2 separate regions of the Mus musculus genome follow, and region 1 is reported to be linked to region 2. Evidence: microRNA targets listed by miRTarBase, many of them from high-throughput screens and not tested one by one. Region 2 holds a microRNA gene; the other region holds the end of a gene's coding sequence. Distances are from middle to middle.
The links. The annotated mature microRNA mmu-miR-1952 reads UCUCCACCCUCCUUCUG and lies in region 2 at 2,519-2,535, opposite strand. An mRNA with a match to its seed (bases 2 to 7 or 8) in the 3' UTR can be bound and repressed. Matches are read on the target gene's strand: a 7mer-m8 pairs with bases 2 to 8, a 7mer-A1 pairs with bases 2 to 7 and ends in A, and an 8mer does both.

Region 1 (4,024 bases), 75 Mb from region 2:
AAGCATCCTTCTCTTCGGACCTCGGGGTACAGGCAAAACACTTTTGGGCAGATGCATAGCTAGTCAGCTAGGGGCCACGTTTTTCAAAATTGCCGGTTCCGGACTCGTTGCAAAGTGGATAGGAGAAGCGGAGAAAATCATCCACGCCTCTTTTCTTGTGGCCAGGTGTCGCCAGCCCTCGGTGATTTTTGTTAGTGACATTGACATGCTTCTCTCCTCTCAAGTGAGCGAGGAACACAGTCCAGTCAGTCGGATGAGAACCGAATTTCTGATGCAGCTGGACACTGTACTGACTTCGGCTGAGGACCAAATCGTAGTCATTTGTGCCACCAGTAAACCAGAAGAAATAGATGAATCTCTTCGGAGGTACTTCATGAAAAGACTTTTAATCCCACTTCCTGACAGCACAGCGAGGCACCAGATAATAGTACAGCTGCTCACACAGCACAATTACTGTCTCAATGACAAGGAGTTTGCACTGCTTGTCCAGCGCACAGAAGGCTTTTCTGGACTAGACGTGGCTCATTTGTGTCAGGAAGCAGCAGTGGGACCTCTCCATGCTATGCCAGCTACAGACCTTTCAGCCATTATGCCCAGCCAGTTAAGGCCCGTTACATATCAAGACTTTGAAAATGCTTTCTGCAAGATTCAGCCTAGCATATCTCAAAAAGAGCTTGATATGTATGTTGAATGGAACAAAATGTTTGGTTGCAGTCAGTGATAACATCTTTAAAAAAAGAAAAAAAAATGTAATGAATGTTGGCACACACATAAAACCTGCTACATAGGGAATAGAGCCCCTTTCCAGTAGTGTTTCAATTGCTAAGGGTACTGGGGAAGACGACGATTATGTTGCATCTTTAGAGTCAGGGTAGCTTTGGAAGAAGCAGGCATCCGATGAGAGCCTCTGATTTGGAAGCCCCAGCTGACAGAAAGCATATACATGTGGATGCTCGGATCGGTTCAAGCTAGACGACACTCACCGAGAAGCAAGGTGCAAGTGTGTTGATTTCAGAAGGACATGAACCTCGTGTGTTGATTCCATTCTGCTGTTCTCGAGATTTAGTTGCTGTCAAGTGCCTGGAGTGGTGCTTTATTTTGTTTGTTTGTTTGTTTGCCTCACAATTACATTGGTGGCATGTGCTAATATAAAGAGCTTTAACTTCAAACACTATTGGACTAAAGAGATGAACGGTTGTGTTACAACAGAAAACCAGATTTTTTTGGCCATTTTAAGAGCAACCGTATTCCTCAACCCTGTCTGTTCTGAAGTGTTAGCTAAGAGCAGGTAAAACAGGGTAACGGTGATCTGGACCTTAATTTCTGCAGTTCATTTCTTTTAATGTTCTTGTCTGCAAAAACTCAGGAAAGTGATTGTGATTTGTACAGTACCTCAAAGGAATGTGTTAAAAGCACTATGTACTGCTGAGAGTAATAGGGTAGGCTTCAATGTTACTTTATATTAAAATGTATGTTTACCTCAACAATTGGAGAATAGCAAGGAAAATTATTTTGAATGTATCCAGAAAAGAAAAGAAAAATACTGAAGTGTGATACAACTGAATATTTACAGTTTAAAAGTAGAAGTGGAAGGATTTTTTTTTTAAAGTTCTCTTACTAATTATGGGGAATTATTAACCAGAGCAGAACAATTACTGAAGAGTTCTTAATGCATTGCTCTCCATGATGATTAAGTGGAAATGTTCATAGAAGTTACACTGGTTAATTGAAAAGCTGTGTCTTCAGTTTGTGTTGGTGTTTAGAGCAGTCAGCTGCAGACCTGTTTAAGACCCTGAAAGTGACAGAACCTACAAACTGTATCTGCCTTCTACTGCCATGGTGGAGGTGGAGGTGGAGGTGGAGGTGGAGGTGGTGGTGGTGGAGGATGTTTTGGAAGCTCTCTCCTAAACCTCTAGGGGAAGAGTCTATTCCACTCAGAGTTGCTAGGCTTACAGAGCTATTTCACAAAAAGCAGAGGATAGAACCAAATCAAACATGCAAACTTAAAAAAAAAAAAAAAAAAAAAAAAGCAACCAATCACAGGTATCTGCAGAGCACCCCCCACACGTGCCCCTCCCCCATGCCGCATCTTGACTTCGATCTTCAGAGTGCACTTTCGCTTCTCATCCTCAAGCCCACCCCCACCCCAGGCTGTAGAACTCCTACGTTCATTTCTACCTCAGTTTCGTTATGTTTCTTTTGGAAAGTCAAGTGAGAAATTAGACGTGGACATGTATACCACAACAGAGCTTGCCAAATGTGGGGACTTTTGCGTCCTGTTGTGTTTTCTTCCCTCCTTTGTCTGCTTCCCCTGTAACACCAGTCTTTATGCATTCTTTCACCTCTGAAGACTACCACACAGCAATGTGGCAGTCCTTTCTCACCCTGCCCCTCTGCTCCTGCTTCCACCAGGTTGTTCTTTGTCTTCTGTAATGCAGTATGTGCAAGTTTTCATTGACAGCTGGCTGAAGTTCACCAATGTCTCTCTTTCACTGTCACAGTGCAGGACAGAGCTTTCCACAGCCACTGCCTGTGCAGAATCAGAGCAGCCTAGCATTTTGAATGTATTTTCCTGTATTTTCCTGTTTTTCCCTCCTTTTCTTTTCTTTACTTTTCTTTTTCTTTTTTTCTTTCTTTTTTTTTTTATTTTGTTTAAATTTAGAGATGCAGTAATTGTTGCGAAGCACTGGCATTTTGTGTATTCAATAAGTGATGTACATTTTTAAGGTAATTTTAAATAAATGCAATGGCAGCCCCATGAAAGGTCTTTCTGTTATTTTTTTTTCCTTCTTTTTTTTTTTCCTGAGCTCATCTACAAGTTAATTCTCTGAAACACTTAACACAGAGAAACTGAATAAGAAAATGAACTCGTGGTATTTCAAACATTTTATGATATTTGATTAGTAATCTTTCTCTCTTTTTTTTTTCCCGTTGCTAAAACTGAGCAAATGAACTAGAATTTAATGGACTGTGAACATCTATCAACTTACACTGTTCTAAAATAGATCCCATATTTTAAAAGCAGTGCCTTTCACTAAGGAGACACAAATGATAATACTACTTAGATATGTCCTCTGTTTTTCACAAGTGAATAAATGCTTTAGTCATATTCCGGATCTACCCTATGCACTGCCCATGATAAGGAGATTCTAATATTCACTAACTTGTGAGCCCATATTGATCTCATTCACAAGTTTATTCTCTGTGCAGTACTGACCCATCTTCTCTATTAGAGCTCACACCTCATTTCCACCAATATGCTGTGCTCACTAATAAAGTGAAAAGTAAAAACATCTGGCACGTTTTGACAAACCCAATCCTCTTTAGTCAACCTTCGAGAACCCAGAATTAACCCACATTGTTTGGTGTGTGGTTTTCGGGACTTAATGCCAAATATATGAGATGACAGTTGTGCTTTGTTCTCACAGTACTGATAATAAACTGAAGTCATACATGTTGGCTGATAGCTTTAAATGGCTTTAAATTAGTTTGAGATATGAATGACTTAAAGATTAGTTTGAGATATGAATGGTCTGAGATCCATGGATTGAGCAGAAGCTTGAAATTACATGTAATTTCCACTTAGCCCACCCAGGTCTAGAATTATCTGATAGCAAAGCAGGCAAGTTGAAGAAACGAAACACTCACGCTCTAGCAAGGTTTTTAACTCCATGTGTCAGCAGTGTGAAAACTCCAATGGACTATCATAATCAGGACGTCTTTTCTGCCCATCCATTTGAGAGCTTGGGGGAGAACAAGTTCCAGATCTCCAGAAGTGAGCATGGATATTCAGCCCTAGAACAAAACTAGGTAATTGTTGGCCTCTCTTTGATTGCTTGGGATTTGGAGGAGGCTCCTAATGAGTGTAAGGTAGTGAACCAGTCAGTCCTTTCCAGTTGCAGGAGGAGATCCAGCCAGCCTCGTTTATAGCCCTCAATTCCTTCCTCACAACTGTAATAACATTTCCAACAGGGATGAAAAGGAGGAGGGGGGAAATACTTCAGGCAAAGGATCAATAGACATT
Region 2 (4,152 bases):
CTTTTTGCATTGATTCCCAGGCCCATGTGGTTCACTCAGCGGGTCCCCTGCTAAGCTAAGGCTCACTAGAGTCTTACAGTATCTGTGTCTATGTCTGTATCTGTAACTATATCTGTATCCATATCCGTCCATATCTGTATCTGTATGTAGAAGAGTGGTTCTGATGCTTTGATTTAATTGGGAATTTTTATTTACTGATGCTGAATGTCCTTGCCCCCAGCTGGTTTTTGATCTATCAATAAATAGATAGTCCCAATGGCTCAGTCCCAATGGTTGAGCACAGGGTAGGACACAGAGTTTTACAGGTAGGACACAGTGAGAATCAGGGAACTGAAAATGAAGGAGGGGGCACAGTAGTAGCAGGAGAAAAGGCCATGCAGCCATGTGAGTTTTGGGGTAAGTGGCCATTGGTTATTTCCTCAATTGGGCCTAGGGTAGCAGGGAAAGGTTGAGGAATGTGAGTCATTGAGTTAGCCAAGGCATTTCAAGATTAACTGGAATGTGTATGTTTTTTCTATTTTAGGATCTGAGATAGCTCCTGAGTGAGAGAAACTTAAATCAGTTTAAGTTAAGAATGTGTATGTAAAACAATACAGGGATGGGGGATGGGATAGGGGATTTGCAGAGGGAAAACCAGGAAAGGGGATAACATTTGAAATGTAAATAAATGAAATATCCAACAAAAATAATACACTACATATATATGTATAATATTTCTTGTATGTATATGATTTCAGAGCTTTGAAATGTGTTTTATCATTCCTACTGAAGAAGATACCTTGCTGTATGAAATAATTTAATAATAATTTGTCATTGATCTGCTACCTAGTCCTGGTACTCAGCTAGGGAGAAAGATATAAGCACAGCTATAAAATATACTTCATGCTGGAGGGGTTCAGAGTTTGCTGGGAATTCCTTGAATTTAGAGATCACATAAGCTTTCTTTTTTGCTTTGTGACAGTGTCTCTCTATGTAGCACTTGCTATCTGGGAACTCTCTCTGATAGACCAGCTTGACTCATACTCAGAGAGATCCTCCTGCCTCTGCTTCCTGAGTGCTGGAATTAAAGGTGCATTCCACTACAGAAAGCTCTTAAGCCAAAGTGGAGAGGGTATGCTAATGGGGAAGGAAAAGCCGAAGGTGGATCTTTAGAACCTGATCAGGCATGAAGGGGAAGGTGTTTTGTGCTCCAAGATCCTAGAGAAGAGAGAGGCTACTTTCTCCCATGGCTTCAGTGAGAGCAGACACAGGGAATCAGGCTCTTATTATCATCTATTGTGACTGGGAAGAGAGCAAGAGCCGCAGTGACTTCTAAGAAAGAAAGTAGGACAACTCTGCAGCCAAGAAGTTGCTGGACCTGGTTTGCTTTCCTCGATGCTTTTCTCTTAAGTGTTTGAGAAAAAAAATCACATTGTGTAGTCAAACAAGGAAAGGCCAGGGTCATCTGCATTCCCTGCCCTGGGATGGGAGCTACAGAGTTCCAAATGACTGCCTCCCAGCTGAGGACTTCATTTCCTGGACTCCCTGTAGGACAGAGAGATCCAAGGAATGATGGGGAAGAGCAACACATAAGCACTTTTCAGGGACACTGCTCTTATATAACATGCAATGTATCTTGGTGACAATTCTAACAATGTGGGGCTAGAGATACACTTTTAACAAAAGTCAGCAGGCTATGAGAGGCTGAAAGTGGCCCACAAACGTGTGTCTTCCATCCTCATCCTAAGAGGGTGTTTGGCTCATTATGTTCTAGCCATCAGCCACTTTCTTCTCAGTTACATGACTCACCATCCTCCCAAGTTCCATCCCCAGTGAAATGGCTTGGCTGGCAGCCTTTCCTGGGGGACAATCTGCCTGTGGATTTTACACCTACAACAATCTGGAGTGGAAGATGCTCACTCCGTGTGTGGCTATAGTCTCAGGTCTCTAGAACCTTCGGGAAACGTAGTTTTGAGAAATGGTGCTTATGAATTTAAAATTATAGTCAGGAAACTCTTTGGCATCTGAGATACCTGGATAATTTTAGAAGATGATGTGATCTGGTGACCGAAGTTGGAGGAAAATAGGAAGCCTAATCATATTCCAAGCTCTTTCACAGTGCTCTGCAATCCAAGTGCAAATAAGTTCCTAAATCTTTTTGCATTGTGTCAAGATATGCATATACTTAATTTACCTACATGCACAACACATGCATGTGTGCATGCCCAGGAACACTCACATGCACTGTCCTTTCAGACTTTTTCTTACAACATAAGGAGATTGCAGTCAGACAGAGAAAACCACAAACTTTGAACAGAAGAAAAGGATGAAGTATGTTATATGCTGCCTTGCAAAGAAGAAAAATCTATTTTTAGACCTTGAATTAGCATTAACAGAAGGCAGAAGTGGGGGATATGCAAGAACAGGAGAAGCAGCAGAAAAGCAGAGAGGGTTTATGAAAGCCTCTGTGTGCCCTCCCGCCCCCCCATACTTCCATCTCTTTTGTCATCCACACCTTGGAGCAGGAAATAAGCCTGCACAGAAGGAGGGTGGAGATCAATAAGAGAGGGATAGGTGGCTGCAATATTTGCCTTGTCTCAATACCAACATTTATTTAGACTTTGTGTTTCATCCTGTTTGTATTCACATCTCCTGAAAATGGACTTCTGGTCTAGAAGAACTTTGATGAGAGGATGCTCTGGGGCATGGGATATGGGCCTGTAAAGAAGTGAGGAAGTGGGTAGTGTGCAGAGTTAAAATGCTGCCCAACTTTCCAGCCAACTCCAGCTCAAACATCTGCTCTAGAGGAGATTTGCCTTCACGTTTGTACCAGTTGAGACCAAAGGGTCAGGCACTGTGGATGAAGCAACCATCTCCATAAACACCCCCTACTAGAGGCAAAAACCTCATAGTCTCCTGAGGCTAACATCAATTTAACTTTCAGGTGACGCCCCTGTTGTGAGCCAGCATCAACTTCAGATCGAGTAGATAGCCTAGAAAAACCTCAGACCTTTGTAGATACCTAGTGTTTCAGATGAAACAGTATCAATGTGGGTTGCCTCTTTACTGTGGAAAACAAGTAGAAAAGAGAAAGCAGAAAGAAGTTCAAGTCAGGATGAGAACCTTTACCTCTTTAGAGTCTATGAGTATTCTGAGGGGCTGAGAGAGGCATTCAGCTTCAGTTTTAAACCTTACTAGCCCCTACACCCCTTCCCACACATAATTTCTTTATTCCTATGACTTATCTACTACCAGGTGAGAATTTAGAACATGTTTATTAACACACATTCTTTCTTTCTTTCCTTTTTTTTTAGTATAAAGTAGAGTTTATTCAGGGCATGGGAAGGAGTTGAGAGGGTAGTAAAGACAGAGAAAGGGAGAGAGAGAGTAGAGGACCAGCCATGAGCACCTGGAGAGAGGGGGAGGGGAATGGGGAGAGAGGAGGAGCATGAAGAAGACGACAGAGTGACAGCAAAAAGGCCAAGAGAGTCATACATTATTTCTTGATTGCCTTTGGGTCAACGAAAATGCCCTTGTACCTTGTCAGTCTAGAGCAACTATGTTTTATTCAAGGGCTACTGTATTAGTTACTATGACCCTATCAATTTACTCTTAAGAGAGCTTTGCATAGTTGGTATGGTGATATGGGATATGGGAAAATAATCTTCTCTACACATATGCTTCTACTCCTGACAACTTCCTAGCTCTGCTTCTTCACAGGCTGTTAGTATTTGTGTAGTTAGGGTCTCTTCTGCACTCAAACTTGAACACGTAGGTCACCTTTACTGTCTAGTCTCTGTTGTATAAATATATTAGATCTGTTTAGTGCAATGTTTGTGAATCCAAGGTCTTCACTTCTAGGACCATTATTGGAAACCCTACCAGCTTTATCAAGTAGAGAACATGCTGACAAAAGAAAGAGCGACTCACAGATGGAAGGAGGATAAGTCTTTGAACAAATGCCTGGTACTTAGGAAGCCACAATACACTACGGTGAATAAAAATTATATTTCTTAGTTGAAGCCACTAACATTAGGAGTTGGTTTCTGATACAAGTAATGATTTTTAAAAAGTGGGAATATGTATATATCACATAGAACAAAGACATGTTCTCTACCAGTCTAGTCTTGGTTTAATCCATGAGGGCTCGCCTCTTGAGTTGTGGGAATACTA

Region 1: miRTarBase lists Fign as a target of mmu-miR-1952. Seed matches in the 3' UTR shown: 7mer-m8 at 1,839-1,845, 7mer-m8 at 1,845-1,851, 7mer-m8 at 1,851-1,857, 7mer-m8 at 1,857-1,863, 7mer-m8 at 1,863-1,869 and 7mer-m8 at 1,878-1,884.

Annotation. Positions count from the first base shown.
Region 1 is chr2:63,975,342-63,979,365 of GRCm38, reverse strand. Fign (fidgetin) reads left to right here. Exons shown (of 4, transcript NM_001267846.1): 4 at 1-4,024. The coding sequence ends at 721. Among named protein-coding and RNA genes, the nearest start is that of Fign, 120 kb to the left of the region's middle.
Region 2 is chr2:138,818,326-138,822,477 of GRCm38, reverse strand. It overlaps Mir1952 (microRNA 1952), which reads right to left and starts at 2,549; the gene lies at 2,471-2,549.